Linked DNA regions of Mus musculus: regions 2, 3, 4, 5, 6 and 7 are each reported to be linked to region 1. Evidence: microRNA targets listed by miRTarBase, many of them from high-throughput screens and not tested one by one. Region 1 holds a microRNA gene; each other region holds the end of a gene's coding sequence. Distances are between the middles of the regions.

The links. Region 1 holds the annotated microRNA mmu-miR-10a-5p (UACCCUGUAGAUCCGAAUUUGUG, at 1,415-1,437, opposite strand). A microRNA usually pairs through its seed, bases 2 to 8, with sites in the 3' UTR of a target mRNA and lowers its output. Matches are read on the target gene's strand: a 7mer-m8 pairs with bases 2 to 8, a 7mer-A1 pairs with bases 2 to 7 and ends in A, and an 8mer does both.
Region 2: the mRNA of Ube2j2 is a reported target of mmu-miR-10a-5p. Seed matches in the 3' UTR shown: 7mer-m8 at 3,349-3,355 and 7mer-m8 at 1,945-1,951.
Region 3: miRTarBase lists Mfsd11 as a target of mmu-miR-10a-5p. Seed matches in the 3' UTR shown: 7mer-m8 at 2,053-2,059.
Region 4: miRTarBase lists Bloc1s3 as a target of mmu-miR-10a-5p. Seed matches in the 3' UTR shown: 7mer-m8 at 1,213-1,219.
Region 5: miRTarBase lists Zbtb6 as a target of mmu-miR-10a-5p. Seed matches in the 3' UTR shown: 7mer-m8 at 2,750-2,756.
Region 6: miRTarBase lists Crkl as a target of mmu-miR-10a-5p. Seed matches in the 3' UTR shown: 7mer-m8 at 2,560-2,566, 7mer-m8 at 1,085-1,091 and 7mer-m8 at 515-521.
Region 7: the mRNA of Mtf1 is a reported target of mmu-miR-10a-5p. Seed matches in the 3' UTR shown: 7mer-m8 at 953-959, 7mer-A1 at 2,041-2,047 and 8mer at 3,163-3,170.

What each region holds. Positions count from the first base shown.
Region 1 is chr11:96,314,557-96,318,622 of GRCm38, reverse strand. It overlaps Mir10a (microRNA 10a), which reads right to left and starts at 1,458; the gene lies at 1,349-1,458. It overlaps Hoxb4 (homeobox B4), which reads right to left and starts at 356. Exons shown (of 2, transcript NM_010459.7): 1 at 1-356. It also overlaps a transcript of Hoxb3 not described here.
Region 2 is chr4:155,956,734-155,960,799 of GRCm38, reverse strand. It overlaps Ube2j2 (ubiquitin-conjugating enzyme E2J 2), which reads right to left. Exons shown (of 8, transcript NM_021402.6): 8 at 1,196-3,719. The coding sequence ends at 3,435. Among named protein-coding and RNA genes, the nearest start is that of C1qtnf12, 3.5 kb to the left of the region's middle.
Region 3 is chr11:116,873,248-116,877,313 of GRCm38, reverse strand. Mfsd11 (major facilitator superfamily domain containing 11) reads right to left here. Exons shown (of 13, transcript NM_178620.4): 12 at 3,935-4,066; 13 at 1,654-3,533. The coding sequence ends at 3,369. Among named protein-coding and RNA genes, the nearest start is that of Mfsd11, 21 kb to the right of the region's middle.
Region 4 is chr7:19,503,297-19,507,362 of GRCm38, reverse strand. Bloc1s3 (biogenesis of lysosomal organelles complex-1, subunit 3) reads left to right here. Exons shown (of 2, transcript NM_177692.4): 2 at 1-1,559. The coding sequence ends at 349. Among named protein-coding and RNA genes, the nearest start is that of Bloc1s3, 3.0 kb to the left of the region's middle.
Region 5 is chr2:37,425,346-37,429,411 of GRCm38, reverse strand. Zbtb6 (zinc finger and BTB domain containing 6) reads left to right here. Exons shown (of 2, transcript NM_146253.5): 2 at 1-3,912. The coding sequence ends at 769. Among named protein-coding and RNA genes, the nearest start is that of Zbtb6, 3.5 kb to the left of the region's middle.
Region 6 is chr16:17,483,107-17,487,172 of GRCm38, reverse strand. It overlaps Crkl (v-crk avian sarcoma virus CT10 oncogene homolog-like), which reads right to left. Exons shown (of 3, transcript NM_007764.5): 3 at 1-3,512. The coding sequence ends at 3,378. Among named protein-coding and RNA genes, the nearest start is that of Aifm3, 6.8 kb to the left of the region's middle.
Region 7 is chr4:124,843,643-124,847,708 of GRCm38, forward strand. Mtf1 (metal response element binding transcription factor 1) reads left to right here. Exons shown (of 11, transcript NM_008636.4): 11 at 505-4,066. The coding sequence ends at 701. Among named protein-coding and RNA genes, the nearest start is that of 1110065P20Rik, 4.9 kb to the right of the region's middle.

The sequences.
Region 1 (4,066 bases):
CGATTCCCGGATAAGGAAATCTGCTCACCCGGACCCTACTCCAGCCAAAGAGGTTTATTTCCCCTTCTCTACCCCTCCCCACCCACCCAACACCAGGATTTACATAGGGCTCCCGCGGGGAGACCCCCTCCTCGCCTGGCTTTCTCCACAACAGAGAGGGGTGATGAACTAAGAAAGAGTGAGCAGGTTAATTGGAGGGCCTGTTTGGGGGTGAGGGGGCTGGGCAGAGCACAAACCCTGCATCCCTCAGAAGTTGGGGCTGCGGGTGTAGCCCCCACCCCTGCCCTACCTAATCTCCACCAACCTTTCTCTGACTCCCATAGGGCCCCATCTCCTCCCCAGGATAAGAGGGAGCTCACGCACTAGGTGTCTGTGTGGGGTTTTAAGTGGTTGGCCGACCAGGGAGCGCCTTCTTGAAATGGGTACCCACTAGGTCATAGGGGCGCTGAGCTTGGGGCTTCTCAGTGCAGCCAGATGGGGAGGGGTAGGAGGTGAGTGAGGAGGCGTCGGGAGCTAGAAGGCGGGTGCGCAGAGGGACTTGTCAGAGATGAATGGAACCGCGAGCAGATCGATAGGAAATTCACGCACTAATTCGGGGAGACTTCGCCTTCCAAATCGCATTTAGCTGCACTATGAGCATCGGCTGTGTCCGTCAGTCTGTCCTCCTCAACACTCCCTCCCTTTAACCCACAAGGCCCAAGGTCAGAGGAACGGCTGGACTCCCTCCACTAAAGACAGAAGATACAATGAAACCAAACCAAACCCGCAAGTTCCTAAAACCAATTGAATAGTAATTTGCTAATTCCAGATTCGTCGAAGCAATGCTAACCAAGAGTTCTAATTGCCGCTAAAGCCGCCGCCTCTGTCAGTGTGGCAGAAAGAAATTTCACAACCTTGAATACTAAGTAAAGGAGCCCTAGCTGTGACGCCCCCACCAACATCACACGCACAAGAACACCCATGGCAACCTTATGTTTTCAGGGCATCTTGTCTTGAATTCAACGAAACAGCAATCTTCGCATCCTTTTAAAAAGCAAATTTCCTTTGCCTTTGCACACTGCAGCCTTCAGCAATCTTTTTTTCCTCCTCATGATTTCCAATAAAGCCCCCTGGACCCAGAATAAGAATAGGTAGGTTGGGGCTTAAAGATAAATTTTAAAACACCAGTAACATTAATCTCTTGAGTGAACAAGGACCCAAGCTTCCAGGGGTGTGCATGGGGACACCTCAGGTAGATGAGATTTCTCCCTCATTGGTTGAGGGAGGAAAAGAAAAGGAGTCTTCTTGAAGGCAGTCACTGGATTGTCCTCATTTAGAAAATAATCTATTTTTCTTCTGGGAAAGAATATGAGCGGAGTGTTTATGTCAACTACATATTCCCCTAGATACGAATTTGTGACCACAAAATTCCTTACACAAATTCGGATCTACAGGGTATATACAGAAGACAGACAGGTCTTCTTGGCCCAGGAAATTTCCAGTTCTCTTACTTTCCGTGCGTTCTTCTTTTGGGTGTGATCTGAATGTTTTCATTTTTATTTCGTTTTGTTTTAATTTTGAGATCTGGGAGCAGAAAAGTCACTGTGGGTCCGTTCTTGGGATTACAAGGGGTTTCAACTTTCTATTCAAAAAATAAAATAAGATTTTTTAAAAAGGCAGCTGTTGTGCAAAGGGACTCGAACCTCGTGGCTGCCGCGCGACTTTCGGTGGCGCATGAATTATTAGATGTAAACATTAGCTAAGCACAAAAGAAGGAAGGGTCATCCCGAGGCTGCCTCGAAGTCAGAATCAGGCCTTTCTGGGTGCCCTCGGCCCCTCCCCTCCCCCCATGACTTTTTTTTTTTTAAGAAAAAATACAAAACCCCAAATAGGTTCCTCCCTTGCCCCCACAGCCTTTAGTTTGTGATCAAACACATATATAGATATTTTCCAAAGCAAAGGGAGGAGGGAGAGGTGTCTGGGTGTGAAGGGGGTGTAATAAAAGTCCTTTTGGAAAAAGTGAATGCTAAAAAGAGAGAGAAAAACAGCTGTGAGGAAAAATGCTGGGAGACCAAACAGATGGCCCCCCCCCCCATATTTAATGACGGGCAATTCCGTTTACAACCTGAGAAGAAGATCAAAGGCAGTTCATTTCCGAATGAAGGGCAATGAGGAACCATAAAAGTTGCAGCCAGATGATGTGCAGGCCCCTCCCAACCTCACATATCCCCCCCATACCTCCTGGAGGCTGGAATAAGGGGACACCCCCCTAGAGGTGTGAGGAGGACCCCCCCTACCCACACCTTATCCCCAGGCAAGGATCCTCTGTCTAGAGGCTCACTAACTGGGCCCATCCACCTGCTTGGGTTGCTGGCTGTGTGGCCAAAATGGGATTCTGGAGTTTTTGGGTGAACTTCCTGAAGCTCCCACTAACATTTGACTTTTCTAAACTGAAAAAATGAGAAATTGAGGATCTGGAGTTTAAACTGGGAGAGCTGTGACCAGGTGAGGGCAAGTGTGTCCAGCAGAGTCTTTCTCACTATCACCACCGCTATAACACCCTAGGCTTGGGGGATACTTCTGCCCTTACTGAGTAAATTACAACACAGTCAATTTCATGAACATACACAAACAAGCCAAACCCACGCATGCACACACCAGGAACCCTTGCAAATGGGCAGGAGAGCTCCCACCTGCAGGCAACTGGGTCCAGAGACCTCAGTCTTTGTTGTTGTTGTTGTTGTTGTTGTTGCTGCTGCTGCTGTTATTGTTAAACCTCATAGATCTAGGCATGGCAATGTTGTCCTCTGGGTTTGTTTTCTAACCCCAATGCCCTCCTATAGGCCAGACTCATACTTAACTGGAGAGAGAGTCAGAGAAAATACATTGTAGTTTTGATCTTCATCAAAGACGGGGTTCAATTTAGTCACCCATAGACAAAGTGTGCTGCTTTGACCCAAGCATCAAGCAAGAACAGTCCTCTCAAAAGGTATTTAGAAGTACCACGACCCACTCCAATGTCCAGGCCCCTCCCCTATCCCATATCTCCTGTCCTGCTCTTGAATACTGGTCTAACTCTGTTTCAGAGAGCAGCTAGTCTACATTTTGCTGATCTATGCTTTAACAAGGGATGTGGCCCAGGTTTCCTGAGCTCCAAGGGAGAGGAATAGGGATAGAGAGATGCAAAGCTGGGTATGGTTGAACCTAGGGCCGGAGCACTGAGATTTTCGCTTTTGCGAATAGGAGAGCCACCACCTGCCCTCCCACCAAGGCGCAGCTGCAACCCCCATCCACACTCCCTCCCTGTGTAGACGCCAGGGGCGGAAGACAGGATTTATCTGCAACTCCAGGACAGGTTTCATTGCAGCTACACGCAGCCTCACCTCTCTATGTCTAGAATACCAACAACAATAACCATAACAATGAAAACACGCAGAGCCAGGGGCTTGGGCACGCTCTCTGCCCTATCTCTAGTGCTCCGGATCCTTTAGAGGCCACTTGGCTGCCTTCTCCTGGCAGCCACAGGTTGCTAGTGTGACCCCTCGCTGCCCAGCCCAGCCCTTCTCCGCCATCACAGGCCTACCCCCGGCGGCACAGAAAAATCATCCACCTTTTATGGACGAGTTGGAAGGGAAACAGAGAGGAACAGGAACCCGAGGGCCAACCGGAGGTCAGTCTCTAGCGGGTCCGGGCACCCCAAGCGCGTTGAGCATAGCAAGGGCCTGAGCCGGCAAGAGTACTCACCCAGCCGCTCCCCGCCTGCTCCAAGCCGACCGGCCGTGGCCCGCTGAGCAACAGCGGAGCTCGCTCCTGTCCACTATTGTGTATCCGGAAAACCGAACCGCGGCTGCGGGCAGTGGAACCACATGCCCCCTCGGAGGCCGGAAAAGGACTTTTTTTTTTTTTTTTTTGGTGTGTTTTTGTTTTTGAAGAGCAAGTTTTCGTATTAATCTCATACTTTGGCAGTCTTTGTTAAACAGCAGGCGCGTCACGAGGTTCTCGAACATTTTAATAATTTTTAGACGCCGTGACCTGCGGTTCACCCCTCTCCGGGCCTCCCCCACGAGCAGGCAGTTAGTATAATATG
Region 2 (4,066 bases), not on the chromosome of region 1:
CCTGGAGAAAACAGGAACCGGTGGCTCACTATAGATGCAAAGGCTACTCCGGCCTAAAATAATAGCACCTAGGAGGCAGACAGAGAATTAAAGTCCAGCCTGAGTTACATGAGGCCCTGTTTAAAAAAAAAAAAAATTCCTGAGAGAGCTTGACACCTTGACAGCACACCTGAAAGCTCTAGAACAAAAAGAAGCAAACACCAAGTGGAGAAGAGGCAGGAAACAATCAAACTCAGGGCTGTAATCAACCAAATAGAAACAAAAAGAACTGCACAAAGAATCAACAAAACCAGGAGCTGGTTCTTTGAGAAAATCAACAAGACAGATAAACCCTTAGCCAGACTAACCAGAGGGCACAAAGACAGTATCCAAACTAATAAAATCAGAAATGAAAAGGGACACATAACAATGAACTATATCTTAAAATAATTGTTTGTTGAAAATATTAAAATCATGTTCTACAAACAAAATGGAAATATTACTGATAATTTTTCTCACTGTGCTTGAAATTAGCATTTTCTTAATGTTTAACTTCGAAGAGTTTTCACTATTTTGAAATTTTAAAAATATACTTACTGATAAAATAATCTCTCCTAGAAACACTGATATTCTTTTTTAAGTAAACTTATAGTTAAGACAATGTACACAGATATATAAGGCATTTTTAATACTCTCTTACTATGCCAGGTGGTATAAGGGCTTTTGAATATATCTCTTAATGATTCAATTTTAATATTTTATGCTCTAATACTATGCTTAATTCCCAAAGAATATTTTGTATGTTTTGAAACAATTTAGTATTCAATATTAAATATAGGATCCTCAGTTATGGATAGTATTAAATGTTCATTAATGATATTTTTAGGATGAAAGGATATGAAAGTTGAACAAAATTTTTTATGTATTATTTGACTCTCAAAATACCCATTAATGTTTGATTATTAAATGCATTGAAATAAAAAATTTAAGGAAAAAAACTCCCAAAGACTATCTGAGAGCTCTTTTTCTCAGGGAAGAACAGAAGTGGCCAAGTGGGAAAGTTCCCTTCCAAGGTACCCCTTTCTTTGAATAACAACAGAATGTGAGCTTTAGGAGAGGTTTTCACCTCCTAAGGAAGAGCTAATAGAGGGCAGTCCTGGATGCCAACTGCCCCAGTCAGTGACCTCTCCCAAGACAAGTCAACAAGGCAGGCATGCTTGAGCCAATGGTTAAAAAGGCCACCTTTTATTCGGGGGTCAGAGCACGGAACACACAGTGGACACTCTAGGGTCCTGTAGCACTCAAAGCTGGGAGAAGTGTTGGGGCTAACCTGCCAAGCCGGCACAGCACTCTTCAGTCGTACACTAAGTGCGACACCTTGTGGCCAGAGAGCAGGCTGCTTTTTACTTCTACCCTAAGAACAAGCACTTCCTAAAATTTTCTTTCCTTCTGAGCTGTTAAGAGTTTGGTCCTGTGAAGGCTTGATGCCCCAGTGAAGGGCAGTAGGGTGGTGGGGCAGGACTGGGTGGGGGAGCACCCTCATGGAGGCAGGAGGATGGGATGGGGGTTCTTTGGAGAGAAAACCGGGAAGGGGGATAACAATTGAAATGTAAATAAACAAAATAACCAATTAAAAATTTTAAAAAAGGGCTGGTGAGATGGCTCAGTGGTTAAGAGTACTGACTGCTCTTCCAGAGGTCCTGAGTTCAAATCCCAGCAACCACATGGTGGTTCACAACCATCTGACACCCTCTTCTGAAGTGTCTGAAGACAGCTAGTGTACTTACATATAATAAAATAAATAAATCTTAAAAATTTTTTAAAATCAAAGTTGAGCTTTCAGTTGGGCAATGGAGGCCCACACCTTGAATCCTAGCTCTTGGGAGGCAAAGGCACGTGGATCTGAGATGAAGGACAGCTTGATTTATAGAGTGAGTTCTAGGACAGCTGGGGACACACAGAGAAACCCTGTCTTGAAATCCCTAAACTCCCATAAAGGCCATGCTGGGGCCAGGGGGCTGGGGGTGGTGCTGAGATTTCAGAGGACTAAATTCGATAATGTTCTGTCTTTCAAGAACTTCAGGAAACACCAATTTGGAATTGAGGTAATTTGCAACGGAGCACTCTGGGACCAGGGAAAAATTACCATCTACCAATAGTAGGAAGCACATGTCTGTAGGGCTCCACCCACCGAAGGCTGCACAGGTTGCACAGGCCCAACCAAGGGTTGTCAATCTACCTTTTGGCAGCTGCAACATTCCCTTCTCACAAGCCAGGCATTGCACTTGGTCACAGCCTACCAGGGAAGGGACATTAACACAGACATCGTGGAGTTCAGAGCAAAGGGGTAACTAAAGACCGTTTTAGGAGAGGACTACATGGTATATACATACTAGTTGTAAACCACAGAGCTGAATTACAGGTAATCATCACATGGGAGCACTTCAGCTTTACCATGGCCCCTGAAAGGAGGTGGGCTTAGAAGGCTTTTAGGAGCCCCTGGTGATGATTGATGCCCAACACAGACGATGTTAGCCTTCCCAAACAACTACTGCAGGTACATTAAGCAAAATCTCAAAGAGATGACATCCATAAGGGAGCTTGCCAGCTTACTGGTGGCCTGGTGACGTGTTCTGGGCAGTTTCCCTCTCCATGATCTGTAGAGAGCGACATCTTACATAGGTCACCCGGAAAGGATGGTGTAGCCTACCGTAAGATATGAAAGAACTTGGAGTGCACTGTCTGCCAACATAGGAGGGCCGGCTTCTGGCCAACTGGACATAAGGAACCAGGGTTACCAAGGCTCCTACTTCTCCATCACTCAAGGGAGCTGAAAGCAGAGGTACTAAGGTTGACAGCAGTACCTGGGCTACCCACAGTCCTTCACCACAGTCCTCAGCCACGGTTCTAAGTGCAGCACTTTGTGGTCAGAGAGCAAGCTGCTGCTTCTACCTTAACAGAAAGCAGAACCGGCACTTTGTGTGAGTCTTCTCTCACTCAGAAGCAATTTTACAATGAGATCAAATCAGTCCTCTCCTAGACCAGCCGGCCCACTTAGCCCCACCAGGAGGCTTTCAGCTCCTCCACTAAGAACACACACAGAGTATTTGATAGGCATTAAAGTTTTATATTTTAAGTGACCAAATCTAATAAAATGAAAAACAAAACAAAACAAAACCAACAAAACAGGTTTACTAAACAGGGTCAAAAGACAACACAGGAGATAAGCAGTAAAACCAGAGCGCGAGTGGCTCCGTCCAGTCAACCTCAAGAGGGAGTTGAGAACCACCAGTCTCCTCCAGATCACATTTTGGTTTTTGCTTTCTCTTTAAGGTTTGTAAAAAGTGAAGCCCGGGAGTCCGGCAGGCCACCCTGTGCCAGCACGTCCTTCACGCCGGCATCAAGCTCTGGCCCTGTGTCCCTCGGCAGCAACTGTAGGCTGTGGCTTGTGACCCTCACTCCTGTGCTATGCTTCTCAGCACGTACTTGACCGTGTAGGCGAAGGCTGCAAACCCAACTATAACAAACAAGTTCGCCAACGCGCCGCCCAGGAGTCCGTGATGCCTGTTGGCCTGTGGGAGCCCAGCGAGGTTGGGGCCAGCAGCGGGTGCGTGCCCATTGAGGAGCTGGATCCCATGCTGGCCACGGTGCAGCTCCCCATCAGGAACCACGTCTGGCAAAGGAAGATTCTGGGGCCTGTTACTTAGTTCATCTTGTGCTTTCTGTTTCTGTTTAATTTCCTGAGAGAAAAACAAAAAAACCCTCAGTTGTCTTAACCTGTCCATTTGGGAGCAGAACTCAAGTTTTTACAAGCTCAGATCTACCACCCAGAACACAGTTCCCCATGCCTCTGCATGAGCATAGCTTTGCATCCCATTTTACAGGTAAAGAAAGCAAGCAAGGTGTCAACATCATTCCTCTGTGCCCGAGTCGAGTAACGAGCTACCAAAAGCTACACCACCTTCCAGCCCACAGTACATGCCCAGCCCTTGCAGGAGGCAACTGATGCACCCCCTGGCTACTGGTGGCAGATCTCTTGAGGGATGGCCACTGATCAGCAAGCATGCCTCTGTGTGGACACTTGTGT
Region 3 (4,066 bases), 21 Mb from region 1:
TGCTGGGGTTATCTCAGCTTCAAGAAAGCCAGCCAGACCTCAGCCTGGCATGGCGGTGCAAGCCTGTAATCCAGCATTTTGGAAACAGAAGCAGGTGGACCAGGGTTCAAGGTCAAATTCAACTACATAACAAATCTGAAGCTAGTTTTGCCTACCTGAAACCCTGCCTTACAAAACAAACCTTACAACCAGGGAGGACGCCATCGTTCCACACAGGGGACTTCTATAAGGACTGCGGCTGACAGCAGGGCTTTGCGGATTCCTACCCTACCATCAAATACTCAAAAATGCCAGGCATGGTGGTGCGTGTCTGTAATCCCAGCATTCAGAAGGTGGACAGGAGGAGGAGGAATGTGAGGTCAGTCTATGCTACATAGTGAGATGGAGGAGAGCCTAGGCTATACAATAGCCTATCTCAAGAACTGAAGCACGGAGCTAGAGAGAAGGCTCATGGGTTAAGGGTGTGCACTGCTCTTCCAGATGTGAGTGTGGTCAGTTCTTAGCACCCACACTGGGTGGCTCACAGCCACTCTAGCTCCAGGGGATCCCATGCCTCTGCCTTCTGACACTGACACAAGCATACACACCTAATCAATAATAAGAATAAATCTCACCTGCCCCCCACCCCCAAATCATCCAACCAACTACACAATTTCTAGATTCATGGCATGTTTCAGAGTCACAGGTCTGGGTGTGATGGCTATGCCTTTAATTCCAGCACTCAAGAGGGAAGGCAGATCTCTGTGAGTTCAAGACCAGTTTGGTTTAGGCTACTCTGAAGGGGAGTGGGGAGGTTGTAAAGGGGAGGGGAAAGGAGAGAGAGAGAGAGAGAGAGAGAGAGAGAGAGAGAGAGAGAGAGAAACACAAACCCAAACAAACTCCAAAAAACCAACAACCCCAAAGTGATGGAAAACAAGATATGTTTCTCTGAGCTGGACTCACTGTACTGTGGACAGATAAATGTCACGTTTAAAGGGAAGGCTCTGTTCTATGGAATATCCAGCAGGTCCAGACATAGGAAGGTTGTTAGTGCCTGCCACATCTGAGACGGGCTGAGGGCTGAGACAATGCAAGACAGTTCTGCAGTCCTGGGGCTGCAGAGCGGGCTGAGGATTGAGAGCACTTGGGGTTTGTCCTGGCTTGAATGAGAAAGGTCCCCACTGGCTCACACAGCTGAATGCTCCTCCCCCTCCCCCAGTTGGAGGAACTGTTTGGGAAGGATTGGGAGAAGTGTCACTGGAAGTGGGCTGGAGGGGTGGCTCCATGATTAAGAGCAGCAGCTGCTCTCCCAGAGGTTCTGAGTTCAATTTCTAGCATCCACACAGAGGCTCACAACCATCTGTAATGGCAGACCCATGGGAAGTTCTCTTCTGGTGTACATATATGCACACATATATCTATATACATAAGTTACATAAAGACAATTCTCTAAAGCAGAAAGCCATTCCCAGTTAGTTCTCTGCTACCTGCTTGTGGATAAAATGTGAGCTCTTGGCTACTGCTCTAGCCCCAGGCCTGTCCCGCTGTCATGCTTGCCACAATGATGGTCACAGACTTACCCTCTGGAACTTTTAAGTGCCAATAAACCCTTAAGCAAGTTCCCTTGGCTGGGCATTGGTAGTGCACACCTTTTTTTTTTTTTGACTGTGTATCTTTTTTTTTTTTTTTTTTTTTTTTTAAAGATTTATTTATTGATTATATGTAAGTACACTGTAGCTGTCTTCAGACACTCTAGAAGAGGGAGTCAGATCTTGTTGGGGATGGTTGTGAGCCACCATGTGGTTGCTGGGATTTGAACTCTGGACCTTCGGAAGAGCAGTCGGGTGCTCTTACCCACTGAGCCATCTCGCCAGCCCTTGACTGTGTATCTTAATGTAATTTTTCCAAGCAGGCACCAGACTTTTAATACAGAAGAAAAACAAGAAAGCTAGGCGAATACATCCGTCAAGGTACATCGACACAAAACAAAGAAATAGTGGACACTTTAATCCCAGCACTCAACCAGATTCTCCAGCCTCGTGAGTTCAAGGACAGCCAGTGCTACACAGAGAAACCCTGTCTCGAAACAAGTTGCCTTGGTATCTCTTCACAAGAGGAAAGTAACTAAGACACCAGAGAACGCACCCCATATCAGTGGTCTTTAACTGCCTGTAAATGCAGTTCGCAGGGATCCAATCTCCATCTGACTTCTCTGAGTTCTGTAGGCAGAATGTATATACAGACAAGCCACAGGCAAACACATACACTAATAAATAAAATAAAAAAGAATTTAAAAATAAAATATTGTCATTAGATATGGTGGCAGTTATACAACCTTATGCACACACACCACACATACACACTAAGTTGGTGAATTTTAGCCAGAGGTTGTTTGTGGCTTGGAAGAGCACAAGTTGGAGGCCAAGCTGCAGTACATACATGTTAGACCTGATCTAGATGCTTAATTAATTTAATATCTCAATCGTAAGAGTGTCAGTCCTTGTGGGAGACAGTCTGCAGTGCTTACGCACTTTCCCACAGAGGATGGCCGGAGTTTTCTTTATTGTAACGGTCAGGACAACCACAGCATGAGTCCTCCCCCTCCCAGTAAATACTCTTTCCTTCTCTAAATATGCTTTTATTAGTTGACAAATGACACAGTCTTTACCTCATTACACATAACCAGCCCCTTGCTGGGAGTGACAAGGTAAGACTTGTTCAACAAAGCATTTTAGGAGAAGTTGAAGTCTCAGCGGTGTGTGGTAGCATATTCTCACCACCCAGGCATTCTGGAGACAAAGGCAGGAGCATTGCCTGGTATACAAAGTCCAGGCCAGCCAAGGCTGCATATCAAGACCCTAACTCTTAGGATTGGAGCGTTTTAAATCCAGTGTTGGGCAATAACCCCAACACTGGAGGCAGGGGAGGGCTGCAAGTCCAAGACCAGCCTGGGCTACGCAGTGAGATCCTGTCTCAAAACAACGTGTCTCAGCATCCTTGCTGTGTTTCAGAAAGTCATTCCCAGACCCACACATGGAGTGGCATCTGCTTCCTATTTCGAAAGAGTGAGGCATACTCCACAGCCAGCAAGGATCTCGTGACACATGGCGAGCCAGGCTGGATCGTTCCTCGAGAATGAGGATGGAGGAGCCCTGATTGTGAGGAACTGAGGGAGGGGGTGGACGAACATCTCAGAACAGCTGTAACGGATAGAGCGGGATTCCCTTCCTCCGCTAGCGTGTGCCGCTAGGATATGTAAACTTTACTACCAACCCCGCCCGATTTCACAGTCTCCGTTCTCGCTTTAGCGATTATGAGACTGACAGGCCGTCGGATTTAACCAGCTGCCATGTGACCAGCTGTGTTTCTTGGAGACACTTGTTTTCTCATCAAATGCTTCGGTAGTCCGAGCCTCGGGCCACGATGGCAGCAGCGTCCCACTCCACAGCGAAGAAAGAAATGGTTCCAAAAAACCCAAATATCACCATGACCAGGAGCTGCCAGTGGAGGAGGAGGTAGTTGCTGTAGAAAAAGGCCACGGCTGCGCAGATTGACTAGAAGAAACAAGATAAATCACCAAGTGGATGCTGGGGCCTCAGATGCTCCACAGTCAGCCCAAAGGACATCTGCAACTGGCAGTGCCCGTGAAGACAGACTTCACTGGTCCCCAGCTCACAAATGCACCCCAACTTGCCTGACAGCAATAATCCAGTAAGCTGTGGCACTATAATAGTACAATAAAGTGATGAGAAGTCTGAGACTCTCTGGAGAGATGGGGCTGGTACCTAAGGAAGTATTCACTCAAGTGCAGAGACCAGAATTAAAGCCTCTCACCTAAGCAAGCCCACTGTGCCTGGTTCTCCTCACCCCCCTTTACAGGACACCCAGCATTCATTTAAACCCCCAGTGACCGAGGACAACGGGAAGGAAACCGACTGCAGCACAACCCAGTTACCTGAACAAACTTAAAGACCGCGAAGGCCGGCGCGCTGTCTTCCGAGTAGAGAAAACCCAGAATGCTAAGCAGCTGGGTGTTGAAGCAGCTGTCTCCCAGACCCAGCAGAAAACTGCAGAGAATGGCAACTTC
Region 4 (4,066 bases), not on the chromosome of region 1:
GCGCGATCCGGCGGAGACTTGGGGCACGGAGGAGACCCCTGCCATGGCGCCTGCGCGCTCGCTGCTGCAGCTCCGGTTGGCTGAGAGCCAGACGCGCCTGGACCACGACGTAGCGGCTGCGGTGAGCGGCGTGTACCGCCGTGCGGGTCGCGATGTGGCCGCCCTGGCGGGGAGGCTGGCGGCTGCTCAGGCCACCGGGCTGGCAGCCGCCCACAGCGTGCGCCTGGCGCGCGGGGACCTCTGCGCGCTCGCCGAGCGCCTGGATATCGTGGCTGGCTGTCGCTTGCTGCCGGACATACGAGGGGTCCCTGGTATGGAGCCCGAGCAGGACCCGGGACCTAGAGCCTAGGCTGTCACTCTGTGTCCCCCCACCTGACTCTGCCTCTTGGTGAACATTCGTACCACCTGTGGCATCTGACTCTGTTTTTGTTCCTGGATCACCGAGGCCTCCAATGCGTGGTAGCATTTGATCAATGCCGACAGAAGCCGAATCCTCGCATCTTCTTTGATATTCTTAGCACAATTCCGGGCTCCCCAACCCAGGTTCTGTGGCTATCAAGTAGCTTAGCCCCTATCCATTCTGGTCCTGTTTCCTAAATTCAGCTTTACTCTTGGGCAAAGCCAGAGGTTTGCTTTCTTTTGTTGAGCCTTTCTGAATTTAGGCTTTGGGGGGTAGTGGTGTCTCTCTAGTTTACATCCCTAAATGATGATCACTCCTGACCCGAGGATACCTTCCTCTTACACATATCCCTCTTACCGACCGCTGTGGCCAAATGCAGACCAACCTAGGGCCTGGGTAGTAACCCTAATTCTTAGGCCTTTGTGTCAGGGGCAGCGCCTCCTGGTGTTTTGATCGCTATAGAGACATGACACCACAAATACAAATCTACCACTCACTGTGTCTCTTTCTGGATGCTAAAAGGACTTGGATTCTGACCTCTATGGGCCTCGAGGATAACAGGTTCTTTTTGCCTCTTTGGGTTTGGCTCTTTGGGTGTCTTTTTGGCCACTCCTTTTGTCTCTGTCTTAATGAGGATTCAGTGACCTTATGTGGAAGGGAGCTCGGGTGGTGGGGTGAGACTGTAGCTCAGTGGTGTCGTGTACGCTTAGTGTGGGCGGCCCTGGGTTCAATTCCTAGGACCACCCTGCTTCAAAAGAAACAAACAAGCACATTCTTTGTTTGTTTGTTTTGTTTTTGTTTTGTTTTTTGAGACAGGGTTTCTCTGTGTAGTCCTGGCTGTCCTGGAACTCACTTTGTAGACCAGGCTGGCCTCAAACTCAGAAATTCACCTGCTTCTGCCTCCCAAGTGCTGGGATTAAAGGCGTGTGCCACCACTGCCCGGTCAAACTAGAACATTCTTAGATGCCTGTGTCCCCTTTAAAAATTTACCCAGGGTGGGGGGTGGGGTGGGGCTGGAAAGTAGAGGTCCTGAGTTCAAACCCCAGAAACCACATGGTGGCTCACAACCATCTGTATTGAGATCTGATGCCCTCTTCTGGTGTGTCTGAAGACAGCTACAATGTACTTATATATAATAAATAAATTATTAAAAAATTTACCCTCTTGATTCTAACTATCAGCTGATATGCTATTTTGTTTTTACATCAACTAGAGTCAGGGTTTTTATTGGTAATTAGGCGTGGAGATTGGGGATTTAGCTCAGGGTTACAGCTCTTGCCTAGCAAGTGCAAGGCCCTGGGTTTGGTCCTCAGCTCAAAAAACAAAACAAAACCTCAAAAAAATCCAACCAAACCCCTCCCCTCCTCAAAAACAAAACATGTAACTGGTGCATGTCAGGCAGTGGTGGCACACACCTCAGTCCCAGCACTGGCTGGGCAGAGGCAGGCAGATCTGAGCTTGAGGCCAGCTTGGTCTGTAGAGCAAGTTCCAGAACAGCCAGGGCTACCCAGAGAAATCCTGTCTCAGTTTTAAAAAAGGAAAAAAATTGTGTGCACATATGTGTGTGCTTGCAGGTATGTTTACCCAGTATGTGTGCTGTATACAGGTGTGCCTATATGTTCAGGTGTGTCCATGTGTGTGTGTAAGCACGTGTGCTTGCATGTGTGTAGAGCTTCCTGTGTATAAACAGGTGTGTCTGCATGCATGCAGGTGTGACTGTATTGTGGGCTCAGGTGTGCCTGGATGTGCAGATCTGTCTGCAGATGTCAGGAGCTGTGTATGTGCATGTAAGGGCCTGTATGTGACAGGTGATGTGCAAGGCTGTCCTCTCCCGAAGCTCTGCTGTGCCGCTGGCACAAGGCCACCACAGAAAGGACTTGTTGACCTTTGAGTTCCCTAGAAGAAGGGGGTATAAGGAGGCTGTGCCACCTCACCTGAGGGTCCAGCCACTCTTCACAAGCACTTGTTTACAACTCTGCCCTAACTCCACCTGTGTCAGGGACTGGGTAGATGTACACAGACCAAGAAAGGACAGAGAGGGGGCTCCATGTACACAGCCACACACAAGCCATCCCTACTGCATGCATACCTTCCAGTAGGGCTGCTCCTGCTCTTAACCCCACACTCTTGCTCCATAAAGCATGGGACCTTGAAAGGTACCATGGTCCCCGGCTGAGCTAAGGCTAGAAGCCGAGGAGAGCCTGAAGGGACCTAAGGAGGTTTACCTGCTCCAGGGCACCAGGCCTGTCACTAGCAGCAGCCCCACCCCCATAGATTTGTGACCATCAGTCATGTAAGGGGAACGCCCAAGCCCCTCCACTCGTAAAGGCTGTGACCTGTGGTCAAGTAGGCACAAGACAGATCTCCATTTTTAACAAGGTTCCTAAAGGCCTGGAGGATGTAGCCAGTAAGCTTTCCTTCCCAGACATTCCTCCCTGCATCCACTTTCCGTCATGACAATAAATGCCTCAACAGTCCTCCTGCATTCCTAGTGCTGGATTGATTATGGGCGTGACCCATCCCTCTGGGAGATAGACAAAACCCAGGGTACTCGGTTGGTCAAGAACAAAGGTGAGGGTCCTGAGAAAATGGTTCAGTGGCTAAGAGCTCTTGCTTTGGACACAGGTGAAGCTGGGGTCCAATCCCCAAGAACAAAGGCAGGCACAGCTGCGCATGCCTGGAACCCAAATTGGGGGTGACAGAGACAGGAAGATCCTGAGAGCTTGCTGGCCAACCAGCCTAGCAGAAAAGGCAAGTGTCCAATTCAGTGGGACCCCCATCTCAAAACAGCAAGGCAGTGCAGGGTAACAGAAGAGGACACTCAGCAGCCAGCCCTGACATCCACATGCACACACGCACATACAGAGGTTGAGGCTGGACAGGGTGAGGACCTGCGTGGATCCAGGCCACAGGCAGAACCCCTTATCAGTGCAGGAATGTAGCTGGGGCTACAGGTTAGGGGTAGTACTAGGTGGGGACAGGGGTGGGGTTGAGAGCCCAAACCCTCCCACTTCTATCCCTTCTGCTCAAAATGCTTGCCAACTTCCTCTGGTACTTGGAGATCTTCTATCAGAGGCCCCGAGGTAGCCCCATCTGTGCAGGTGGCAGCCCCATGCCAATCTCCTGCGTGGGCACAGTGTCTCTGAGTTGATCTTCCTTGGGTGGCTTCAGTGACCCAGCATGCCTCGCTTGCACAGTGAACACAGCAAGCACCCTAGGCATGTCTGTAGATTCCAGGGTGTGATTAAGCCAGGACCAGGTGATATTAAAGTTCCCAGCTGCTCCCTGGCTCTCTGCTGCCCTCTGTTGGAAATCCAGAGAAGACACACTGTTGTTGCCTGTGGGAAAATCCGTTTACCTTGAGCCTAGTTCTGACCCTTCAGAGTCTCTGGTTCCATTTTTTCAAAAATTACTTACCCAGGGTGGGAGACAGTACTGCCACCTGGAGCTTGTGGATGATCTAAATTTTTATTGGAATATATTTTGGAGGGGGCGAGGGCAGGGTCTCATGTATCCCAGGCTGGCCAGGAACTCCCTGGGGAGAACCTTTAGATCCTTGTCATTTACGCCTGTTTTCTGGAATTATAGACCTGTGCTGTGCCACCACAAGTCTTGGTTTGTTTTATTTTTATTACATCATACACACACACACACACACACACACAC
Region 5 (4,066 bases), not on the chromosome of region 1:
TAGTCCTGTAAACCTAGATTTCCATGTCAAAGAGGAGGAAAGCAATGCATTACAATCTGCTGCAGAGACACTGACATCAGAGCGGATGAGAATGCAGTCACCGGAGCTCTCTGCAGTAGATGGTGGCTTTAAAGAGAATGAAATTTGTATCCTCCATGTAGAATCCATTAGTACAGATGATGTAGAAAATGGGCAGTTTTCACAGCCTTGTACCTCATCCAAAGCAGGCATATATTTCCCTGAAACACAGCATTCATTGATCAATTCTACAGTTGAGAACAGAGTGACAGAAGTTCCTGGAAATACAAATCAGGGGTTATTTTCTGAGAATTCTGATGGAAGTCATGGTACGGTAAATGAGATCCAGAATCTGGATGAGAATTTTTCCTTGAGGCATCAGTGCCCCAGGTGTCCAAGGGGATTTCTTCATGTAGAAAACTATCTGCGACACCTTAAGATGCATAAACTCTTTTTGTGCTTGCAGTGTGGGAAAACATTTACACAGAAGAAAAATCTTAATCGGCATATTCGAGGACACATGGGTATAAGGCCCTTTCAGTGTACTGTGTGTTTAAAGACCTTTACTGCTAAAAGCACACTTCAGGACCACTTGAACATACACAGTGGGGATCGGCCATATAAATGCCATTGTTGTGATATGGATTTCAAACACAAATCTGCTCTCAAAAAGCACTTAACCTCTGTTCATGGCAGGAGCAGTGGTGAAAAATTATCTAGGCCTGATCTCAAACGGCAGAATCTACTGTAATCAAATCAATGACTTTTTTAGACACATTTTATAAAAATGCAGCACATGTAGTGTTGCCCCCCACCCAATCTGTATCATTTATTTTTGTTCTTACATGTTATTCATTCTGAACTTCTAATAATTCCAAAGTTGGTGGTGTGATTAAGTTTATGAGATTCTACATTGTCTCAAACATTATGTATTAGTCCTCTGTTCAGGAGTAATTGCAGATTCTGATTTGTAGTTTTTAGATAAGTGATTTATTGTTGACCTATATAGAATTTTAAGGAAGTAAGATGGCAAGAAAATAGATTTGAAAGCATAGTGTTGCACATCGCTATTAATATTGAAAGCAGATAGGACTAGCAGTTTTTTTTTTTTTTAATTTAACCAGTGTTCTTGATTTATAACCAGAACACCAAGGTACTGTCTTAAAACTAAAGGAGCACAATTCAAATTCACATGGGGCCAGCAAAATGTCTTTAGAAATACATTACTTAAATGTCCAAAAGAATATGTGATTAGACCCTTTTCCTGATTATATATATTGTAGCCTCCCTCAGCCTTGAAGCAGGCTGATCCAGACTTTGACCTTGCTGCCACTAAGAAGGAGAGGCTAGAGCCTTCTGACCTTGATGGCTCTATTTGCTCTTCTCCAAGACTGCTTCCTGCTGAAAGGTCTTTGAGACCGTCCGACCTGTAGATCACCTACTGGCTGGCTCCAGGCACCAAGAATGGGCTGGCAGGGAATGGGCCTACCCTCTTTATAAGCATGGACTCTCAGTAAACTTCAGAGGCTTTGAACAGAAAGGTTTGTCTTGGCCTAGTTCTTTTCTTGCCTCTGGTCTCTTTCAGCCCCAGCACGCCTTTCAGGGGAACCCAGTTCTCGTTCAGCAGGCGGCTACAATATATAACATGGTTGGATTAAGAACTCTGGCCAATGCAAGTATTTTCTTAAATTGACAATTTTCTTAGATTGGCAAGTTACTTTTCTTAAATAGTCCACTTTCATCAAAGACATTGTTACACTGTTTACTTAGGGTTTCTTTTGGTGTTTGTTTTGGTTTACATGCACTAAAATTGACCTCTGTGGAATTACATTTCTACGAATTTAGTACATATCTAATTGTCTGCAATTGGGACACAGAATAGTTCCACCAGCTTCCAAAATTCCCTTATGCTGCTCTTTTGTAGTCCACCCTTTCTAACTCTAAATTCTACTAAGAGTTCTTCATTAATATAATTTGTTCTAATCTGAGGTGATAATAAAACTGGAATCTTATGTTCCCTTTTGATATTTTTTAACCCCACATAGTGCCATTGAGCTCGATTTATATTTGTGAATATTTGTGTATATTATCAAGTCATTAAGTTTTCATATCTCTTATTTTACTTTTGGCATGATTTGTGCAGCTCGGGCTGGCCTCGAGTTTGCCTTGATTCTTGAGCACTGAGATTATGTCTTTGTTTTGAATTGCCTCTGTATGCATTTTCTTTTCGAGCAGTCATCAGGTGAATAGTTTTAATTTTTAAAAGCTACTAGAATTAGTTATAATGTCTCATTATATGTATGAATATCTGTACATTCAATTTTTTTGTCCTTACAATGAAGAGCAAAATTTACTGCCAGGCAAATCACCTTCTCTGACCACAAGAAGTCACTTTCAAACTGTCCTATTTCTCTACATAACTCAGCTCTGTGTAGAGTTTCTACAGTATTTAAGTTTTATTGACTCTTTTCTATATTTTAACATGTAAAATACTTTGTACTATATAAGAGGTTTGTGAAAATTATGTGGTATTATATATAATTTTTGTGATACTTTTGTGGGAATAATGCTCTACATTGAATTTTTAACTCTGGGAGAGACTTTAAAGAATATAAGTCTCAAAGTCACTTCATAAACCAAGTCACTAATTAATCACATTAAGCAGGTCACCTGTCCTTCAACATTCTTTTTGTTTTTTTTTGTTTTTTTTTGTTTTTTTTTTGTTTTCGAGACAGGGTTTCTCTGTATAGCCCTGGCTGTCCTGGAACTCACTCTGTAGACCAGGCTGGCCTCGAACTCAGAAATCCGCCTGCCTCTGTCCCCTGAGTGCTGGGATTAAAGGTGTGTGCCACCATGCCCCGCAACTTTTCTTAATTTTATATAAAATAACTTTGATCTTCCTAATTTGTAGAGTTATTTCTAAGTAAATTTCTACAAATTTATATTCTTCATGTGAACAGAGGAGACATGTCTTTTCAAACACTGCTATTTGCTATTTGAGTACTCTCTTGGAAACAGAACTTTTTTAAAAGTAAACATTTTGTTCCACTTTATAATGGATTGGTTCAGTGGCTAATTTCCTTTCGCACATAACTTAAGAATGGCCAGTTATAGTTGTGAGCGTATTCCCCTCAGAGAAACAGTTTGTGACTGAAGTGCTTCTCTTATTTTTGCTTCCTGAATTGATTTTTGGAAGGGAGGGTTAGGGATGGGTGGAGTAAACAGTGAGTTCTTGGGGGAAGTGGTATGTACTATACTGGGTGTTCAGAACATTTTGAATGTGTTTTAAGTTTTATTCGTGCCTTGTAAGATTGTTGTAAAATCAAAATTTGTGAGCACTTTGAAAGTTTTGCTTGTGGGGAGGGTGTTTTATAATGTGGTTGTTATTTATATTATTTATTTCCATTACGTGGACAAATTGATCCTAGGAGCTGGGCAAAGTGCACATGCCTATAATTCTAGCACTTGGGAGATAGAGGCAAGAGATTCAGTTCAGGGCCAGCCTTTCTTATATATAGCTAAGTTTTAGGCCAGCCTCATATACAGGAGACATTGTTTTAAGGAAAACAAAATAAAAAAGTAAAACAAAACAAAAACATTCCTGGGAGAGCATCCGCTTGCATGACATTTCTGAAAAATTCAGCAAAGTAGAATCTGTAAAGATATGAAGGTATGACAAAGTAAAGTGTAGCATTTATTCATTTTAAATACTTTTAGCTGTTTGTTTATGTCAGAAAAAGCAGTATATTTGGGTTGAACCTAGTATGTACTGCATTTAAATGTGTAAAAGATCTTGAAAAGGTTGTTACTTTGTTGTAGAGAAAATCCTTTCCTCTTTTCATTGGATGTAATTATGTTTGTATGAAACAATAAACCGGAGGTGGGAATGGAGAACTTTGGGCTTGTGTATTTCTATGAATTTTAAAGGAATCATTTTCTCTTTAGTAATAATGTTTTTTAAAATTATGTGTGTGGGGTTATGTGTACATAAGATTTATTATTATATTTTTAGTTATGTGTATGTGTGGGCATATGCTTGCTAGCAGCT
Region 6 (4,066 bases), not on the chromosome of region 1:
ATGTTCTTTAAGTTATACACGTCAAAAGAGTTTTATGTCATTTTAAAACACACAGTGAAGACCGTCTAGAAGCAAGGCCACTGTCCTCCTGTCTCAGAACTGTCCTCCTGCTCCTTCAGAATATACAAGCAGCTCAGCGTCCACGCTCACAGCAGTTAACCAGGGAGGGGTTCACTGGTTCCAGAGTGAGGAGTCCACAGAAAGCATTAGTCTTAGGTACTGTGTTAAAACAATCAAGAATTCACTCATTTTAAGAGGTTAATGAACATAATATTAAAAGATTAAATTATGAACACCTGGAACAAAAACACATCATCCCTTTTTTTTTTTTTAAATGCTCATTATTCTTTTGAGTAAAGGTTACAAGAGCAGTGGCCATCAGTCTTGGCCCATCTTGTCTGTAAACAGCTGTAGAGGAAGGCTGGCACAGTGCCAGGATCGTGCAACTTGAAAAGAGGGCAGAGTCTCTTCCAGTGAGCACAGAGGGTTACGTCTGGATGACAAAAGCCAGGACACCCTGTCAACCTCGAAACAGGTGGCATCAGAGCAGTGCAGAGTGACAAGCATGCCTTCTGTATGGGGTTGGAGGTGGAGGTGGGGGGCTGTCACCCAGGACTAACTAGCCCTTAAAGCCCTCAACTACCTAATTGTTTCCTTCTCAGATACAACAGCCATAGCAAGTGGGTTTATCATCCCAGTACTTTCTACAACATGGCAGAGCAGACCACACAGCACTGATGATGAGAAAAGGAAGCCTCCATCGTACTCCCCTGAAACCAAGGGTCTTCCCAGAAGAGTGGGACTTGGGGAAGATGCTGCTTTCTATCAGTGAGAGAGATTTCCATGATTAAAAATCGATGAGCTTCTAAGTCAGAGAATTACTATTGTTGGCACGCACGCACGTATCCTGAGAGTTCAGAAAGTTAAGTCTTTATTTTGAGATCTGGATCTCTGAGGAAGCTGCATAGACATTTACATGTGCCAAATTAACTGATTACATAAAGCAAACTCCAGGGTTATGGGACATTCTGATCATGAAGTATTCCTTAGAGTCTTGCTGGTCAACAGTCTTGGGAAAAGGGAAACCCTGTTCTCAAAAATGGCTGTTTATGCTAAGCAAGGTGCTATAATCAAAAGGCACCAAGCCCTTCAGTTAAATGTAGTTTTAAAAGACCTTAAGAGCTGGGTGTGGTGACTCAAACCTTTATAATTTCAGCTGAGGCTGGGATGGAAATCTTGAAGCCAGCATGGGCAATTTATAGAGATCCCATCTCGGATTTCAAAAGCTTACTGGCAGCCGGTTATCTAGCACGTGTAAGGCATGAGGTTCAGGCCCCAGTGATGGGGTATCCCTTGGGGGTTGTGCCCTCAGTGAACAAGGTGTGTATTCCAGTGGAGACATCAAAGGCCTGGGGCTAAACTGTGTAACTGGCCAGAAGGCAAGTCTTAAATCTTGATTTAGGCAGAGTCTGGGGCCTGAACACTTAAGTCCACTCAATAGGTCTGGCTAGAAATGGCAGCTTTCAGAGACAAAAAGAAGTAACCTCTACAGACGTGACACTCCCCATACCCCAAATGACCATTACTTTGTCACATGAACATTCTTTACTATAGAACTTAGCCTGATGGACTACTGATTTAAAGAGAAACTAATGGGGCTCAAGAAATGGCTCAGTGGTTAAGGTCTTCTTGCAGAGGACCCAGGTTCAATTCCTAGAACCCACAGAGTAACTCCACAGTTCCAGAGGATCCAACCAACACCCTTTTCTGGCCTCCTAACAAACTACCCATGTGATACACATACATACATGTAGTGGAAACACCCATATACAGTTTTTTTTGGGGGGAGGTCTGAGGGGGGGATTGGGCCATCTTCTGATACAAGGTATGTATGTAGGCCTGCCTGTCCTGTGACACACTACATAGATCAGGATAGCCTTGAACTCTCAGAGATCCACTTGCCTTTGCCTTTCTGAGTACTGGGATTAAAGGTGTGTCCACCATGCCCAACATAAACAAAAATTTAAAGTCTTTAAGAGAAATAAATATAGTGGACAAAGGGTTTTGTTGGTTTTGTCACCTGAATATGTTCCATTAGTTCTCAAAGCCTCAGGCCTGCAGAACCAGGGCCATGGTTACAGAAGATATTCTGTAAATGCTAGAGCTGCTCACTAGCCACTACTCCATCTCTAGGTCTGCTACGTTCGTTCTGTGTGGAGGTGTATCCTCATCAGGGTCCAACTGAAAAGAGTGCACTCTAGAAAGGTTCTAGAGCTCTGGTTTGCCATGTGTGGATGAGGGATCAGACACATATCTGTAGTAGCTGACATGCAAGGAAAAATGGCTCATGATCGAGGGGCGTCTTCTTTTGCTCAGAAGCACTGTATTCTGGTTCTACTCAGGCTGTGGAACCAGAACAGACACCACTCTCAAGCTGCCTGGACAAGCTAGGTCAGTACAGGAAGGGCTGGGTGGCCTCTGTGGTGGAACACAGCAATGCAATTTAACTCACGGATCTAGTAAGCCCACAGACTTCAAACGTTTTCACTGAAGAGGCCCACCCTGTCTGCTCCTGTCAGAGGCAGCGATGACAGCAGGCCCACCCCCACCTTGGTGCTTCACAGCAAGGTACACCATGACTGCTGCTGTGCACTGTTTGCCACATGGTAAACAAGGTACTGTGGCAACCAAAAGATAAAGGCCCCTGGAGGGGGTCTTTTCCTATTTTAGTTACGTACAGTGGCTTCAGTTTGGAAGCTCAGAGACATGGATTGTTCCTTAGACCATCATAGACCAACCTACTATTTAAAAATCTGTTCAGAACACACAACTATAATTAATTAGTCTTCCAAAAAACAAAACTAAACAAAAGAAAATGAAAACCAGCCAGACTTGAGGAGTTCGGGACAGAATTGTCTGGAGTTTTACTTCCTCTGTCGTCCAAAGAAAACTGAGTTGGTGGCAAAACCACTGTTCTGTGGACCAGCAAAGCGAGACCTTGCCAAGCCTCACCGTCTCCATGCAGACCATCAGCAGGCTTGCTTGCTCTCTCTGTCAGCCTCCAGTACAAACAAGGCAGTGATGGATGGGAAGGAAGAGCTGCTCTGGGTTCCAGTCTCTACTGTGTGCTTCCACCAGTGTTTCCAGTTCACAATCCACAAGAACTCTAAATCAGCTACTCTTTGACAGCATGACTATGATACAAATGCCGAGCCAGCGAGCAAGGCAGCTGCTGAGGCATTCCGTATGTGCAGGGACTGCCAATGTATGGAAAGCTGACCGCCAGCAGCTCGGTGTAACTTGCATGTGACAGAGTGCTTCCCACTTCAAAGGAGACTGACAGGCAGAAGGAGGCAGCAGCAGGGACAGCACAGCAATCACTCGTTGTCATCGGGGTTCTGAGGGTCAAAGATTTTAACATGTGTGAAGGGGAAAAGCCCCTTGCGCCCATTCACCTCGCCTTCCCATTGGCCATTGATATTCATCCTTGTGACTTTCACAATGTCACCAACCTGTAAGGGAAGAGGGAAAGAAAACAAAATTAGCATCACTACAAACAAGGAAGACAGTTTACATTAAATCACAAACACTGTCTATACAAAAATCAAGTAGTACAAAGACACGAGATGCCACCAACCACCCAGGATACCTGTCGCTGGCAAAAACTCAGGAAGCAGCCTCTGAACACAGAGCAGCCACTCCCTCCAGCGTTACTAATAAATGGACATGTATGAGCATCCAACTCTAAGAACGTGCATGTTAAGCTGAATAAAAGGGTAAGAAGTGCGGACTGGTGGCACATACCTTCAATCCCAGTCTTTGGGAGGCAGAGGCAGGCAGATCTCTGAGTCAGCCTCATGGACAGAGCGAGTTCCAGGACAGCCAATGGCTTACACAGAGCAACCCTGTCTTGGGAGGAAAGTGGGAAGTAGCCAGGTGTGGTGCTTATAATCCCCACAGACAACACACAGGAGGCTAAGAGGACCTTCAGTTTGAGACCAGCACGGACTTAATAAAACCATCTTGCTCTGACAGTATATTTATGTAAAACTGAAATGATACAGAG
Region 7 (4,066 bases), not on the chromosome of region 1:
TGGAGAGGGTATGGAATGCAAGCAGCAATGCTGTGTGCATGCGCCTGGTGCTCAGTACTGCCTCCAGTGGTTAGTCAGGGGTCACCACCTGGGGCAGGAAGAGAACAGGGAGCGAATTGGTCCTTGAAAGATGCGGGCACTGTCTGCCCCAAGCAAGTTTAAGCAAAAGGGAGGGCTCAGAGTAAGAAGGGTGGCGTCTGCTGTGGCTGCAGACGCGGCACAGAGGACAGGGTGCATCTAGATGATGTGGGTGAGTCTTCTAAGAAGGAAGCATCATCGTGGATGGGAGAATCCGCACAGGCTTTTTCCCTGAGAAAGAACCCGGACCAGCATAGCAAAAGCCAAAGCATGGCGTCTCTCCTGTCTGTCACTCCTGCCTCCCAGCAGTCAGGTCCCACCCCCCCCCACCCCCCCCCCCACCCCCCCCCGTCCTTACCTTACTCCCCTGCCCCTCATGCCTGTTCCTGGCCACTTGAAGAGCAGTCTCTCTCGCCTCTCTCACAGGGAGCTCTGTTCAGCAGATTGGCCTCAGTGTTCCTGTGATCATCATCAAACAAGAGGAGGCCTGTCAGTGTCAGTGCGCGTGCCGGGACTCTGCGAAGGAGCGGGCGGCCGGCCGGAGAAAGGGATGTTCTTCCCCACCCCCTCCAGAGCCGAACCCCCAGCCTCCTGATGGGCCCAGCCTGCAGCTGCCACCCTAGACTTCTCCCTCATCCCTGCCCCCCCCCCCCCCCTCCGCTGGACCCTCTTCCTGTGAGCACAGCAGACAGGCTGAGGCTCCTCAGACCCTCCGAAACGTTAAGTGCCATGGATGTGTCAGAGTTCCTGTCCCTCCAGAGCCTGGACACCCCGTCCAATCCGGTTCACAGTGAAGCACTACTGCAGGGGTAGAGGAAAGAGCCTGGCCGGCAGCTTCTCCAGGGGAAGGGCCTGTGCGCACACCCCTCCAGGAACAGGGTGAGCAGGAAGTACCGGCTGTGATGCTGCCGTCATGGGGTCAGAAATTGGAAGGATGAAGAAATCTGCCATCTGAAAGCTCACCTTTCAGACGTATTTTCTTTACTCGTATCCCAGGAACATCCATTTTAAGGAACTGATCTTTGGAGGAAAAAACAAAAAACAAAAACAAAAAAAGAAAAAAAAAAGCTAAGTTATAAGTGAACTGTCTGGCTGCACTGTGTGTCACTTTTGCTTATTGTTATGTGAACTTGGAAACTAAGGTTACGTGTATGCATAAAAGTTCTAAATGAAAGGGTGTGGTTTCCATCACTTTGGTACTGCCCATCATTTGCACTGGGGTCACTGTGGATTGGGCAGGAGAGGCCACTGTGCCTGCCGGGTGTTGCTTCTCTTCTGTGTCTGTTTAATCCGAGGCAGTACCTGGAGGGCCAGACCACCGCTCTATGAAAGCGGGGAGTGGCAAGGGCAGGCGTGAGTTAGACTGGGTGAGTTGCTTTGTTGTTGGCACTTGGTTTCTGTGGAGCTTGGGGTAGATGCAGAGGGGGCTGCCCTGTGTCCTGCTTAGTCCTAGCGGGCAGCTGCAGGCCTCCTGGCCAGAGGGAAGATGTGGTTCTGCAGGGCCCCGAGGCAGTTGTTGACAGCTCTGTTGATAATGTGCTAGACCCTAGAGCTATCTAGCACAGCCACAGTCTTGCCTTCTTGGCTCTTTCCATCTCTCAGTGCTTGTTAGTGCTTGAGGCTTGAAGTTCATCTCTCCTACGGAAGCGCCCTGTTTTATCCTAAAGTGAATGAGAGGCTTCTGGCCAGTGGCTGCCAGGGTCTTCCTGCCTTCGATGATGTTTGCTTCCTCAGAGCAGAAGGGCTGCTTTTCCAGAGAAAGTGCAGAGCTAAAGGAGTTAGATGGTGAGGCAGCAGGTGGTCGGCAGGCATTCTGGTACCCAGTTGTAGCCAGGCTTTGGTTATCCTCTCCCAGCTGCATGTCTCATGTCTCTTAGATTTGCATACAGCCTCATACAGTGCAAAGGAAGATGTGATCTCTAAACAAAAAGGAATAAAAACCTAAAATGATGATATTCTACTCAGGGTAAAACAAACAAACAAACCCCTTCCACCAAAAAGCCTGAAGCTTGCAGTCAGTTTACCTCATTTGGAATGTTTTGTTGAGTTGTGTTACAGGAATTTTTTTTTATTAGTGTATAAAATTATACCCATCTCCTTGCCTTTGGCTCCTGGTTATTGCCTCTTCAAACATAAGTACAATCTATAGGAGAATGGGGGTGTGGCTGTCCTTCGGCTGTTTACTGTAGCCATCAGTGCTTGGCAAGGTCAGAAGGTAGCTGGGTCTGGGACTGGAGGAGGCGTCTGTCTCCAGCAAAGAGCAGGGTCTGGTGCCCCAACAGGACAACCAGAGAGCTGTGTAGGTTGCCCTCCTGCAGTCTGGACCTTTCCTCAGAGCCAGCTAGGATGGTGACCCTTGTCTTTAGGCAAGGTATTTAGGGACAATTGGCCAAGAGGGTCATGGCAGCACTATTGAGAAATGGCACAGGTACAAGCAGCTGATCTCCCATTCCAGGATTGGACCAGGAGTATGAATTTCTGATGTTCTACACCCCCACACCCCACACACACCCAAAAAAGGTTGATGGATTTGGGCAACCATAGACCTCAGCAGGAATCTGCACGGTGTGAGGAGCCCCCTGTTGGCGCCGTGGTTAGTCCTTCTGGGAACCAGCTGCTTGGGTGTAGATTGTCCTCAGCTGTCTCTAGGACTTGCACTCACAGGAAGCTTTGCACTCGGGCCCTCACTCGTTTCTCTTCTCTGAGGAGAGCAGTGAATGGGACCCCCAAAGTGAGCTTGTAACAAGGGGTAGTAATGGCCCTCCCACTCACTCTGCCTATGACACCCTGGGAGCTGACATAGGAAACAGGAGCCTAGGGAGGATGTATGGAAGGTTTCAATGGTTTAAATATGGCTTCTTGGTTTGCTAGGGCTGTGCTCTTAATGGTCCATTCCTAGGTTATTGGCTTTTCACCCTCCACAGTTGGCATGGTGAAGAAACATTTGAGCAGTGTTGAGGCTGAAGTGTTGCTAGGTGAAGGAGCTAAGTGATTTTAGAACACAAGAGACTCTCAGAACCTAAGAGGTTTTGGAAAGTGAGGACTCTGCTTGCAGTTGGTGGTTGTGGAGAGCCAATGTGTGAAACAGGGTAGACAGACGCTTCGGCCATGCTTGTACCAGTGGTCCTTCCCCCATCTTTCCACAAGCCCAGCCTCTAATGCTAAGGACCTTGGAGAAGAGGGAACCTCCTGGCTAAACTAGAACCACGAAGACCCTTCATGGAGTGGTTTCGCCAGGGAATGACCTTAGGGTAAGGCCAAGAAGAGTGAATTCTGGCAAGTCGATTAAGCCTTTCCTTCCACGACAGCCATCACCACTGTCACCCTGTAGACGAGACTTGGGTTACCACTAGCATCTCCAGTTTAGCCTCTTCCAAGAGACTAGTTGGCAGCAGGGCTGATGGACCTAGGAGGTGGTCAGGTGATCTTGGTCCCACCCAATTGCCTTATAAATGTGGTCCTTCCCAGGCAGGAGGGTAAGGCTGAGAGAAGAGAGCTCAGTGCCCTTGGGCAGCACTAGTTTGGCCACAGGAGTACTGTCCTCTGTTGACTTTGGTTCATAAGATGATGGTACAATGCCAAGGAGAGGCTTGGGGTGTGGAGAGCCCTCTAGGTAGAAGGCAATGGGACTCCCCTTCCCTTTCAGAGTCAGTGGATGGGAAAAGGTTGTTTTCCGGATCAAGGCAGTGGGCTGATGGGGTAATGGAGGTGCCTGAGTTTTGCCTGAGGCTTTGTATTATGCTGAATGTGTCCAGAGGGACAAATTTGCAGAACCTCATATTGATATTTTAAATAATAAAATAAAAAGCACTTTAGGTTACTTTTATCTTTAACCCAATTGCTGCAATTTCTGTTGTGTATGTATATATACATATATATACTTTCCCCAAAGTTTTATTTTTTGCTCAGAATAAAAGTTAAGTTGAGGTGTAAAAAGAGCACTTACTTGGGTGCAATATATGCGTAGCTTGACAGTCGCTATCCCACG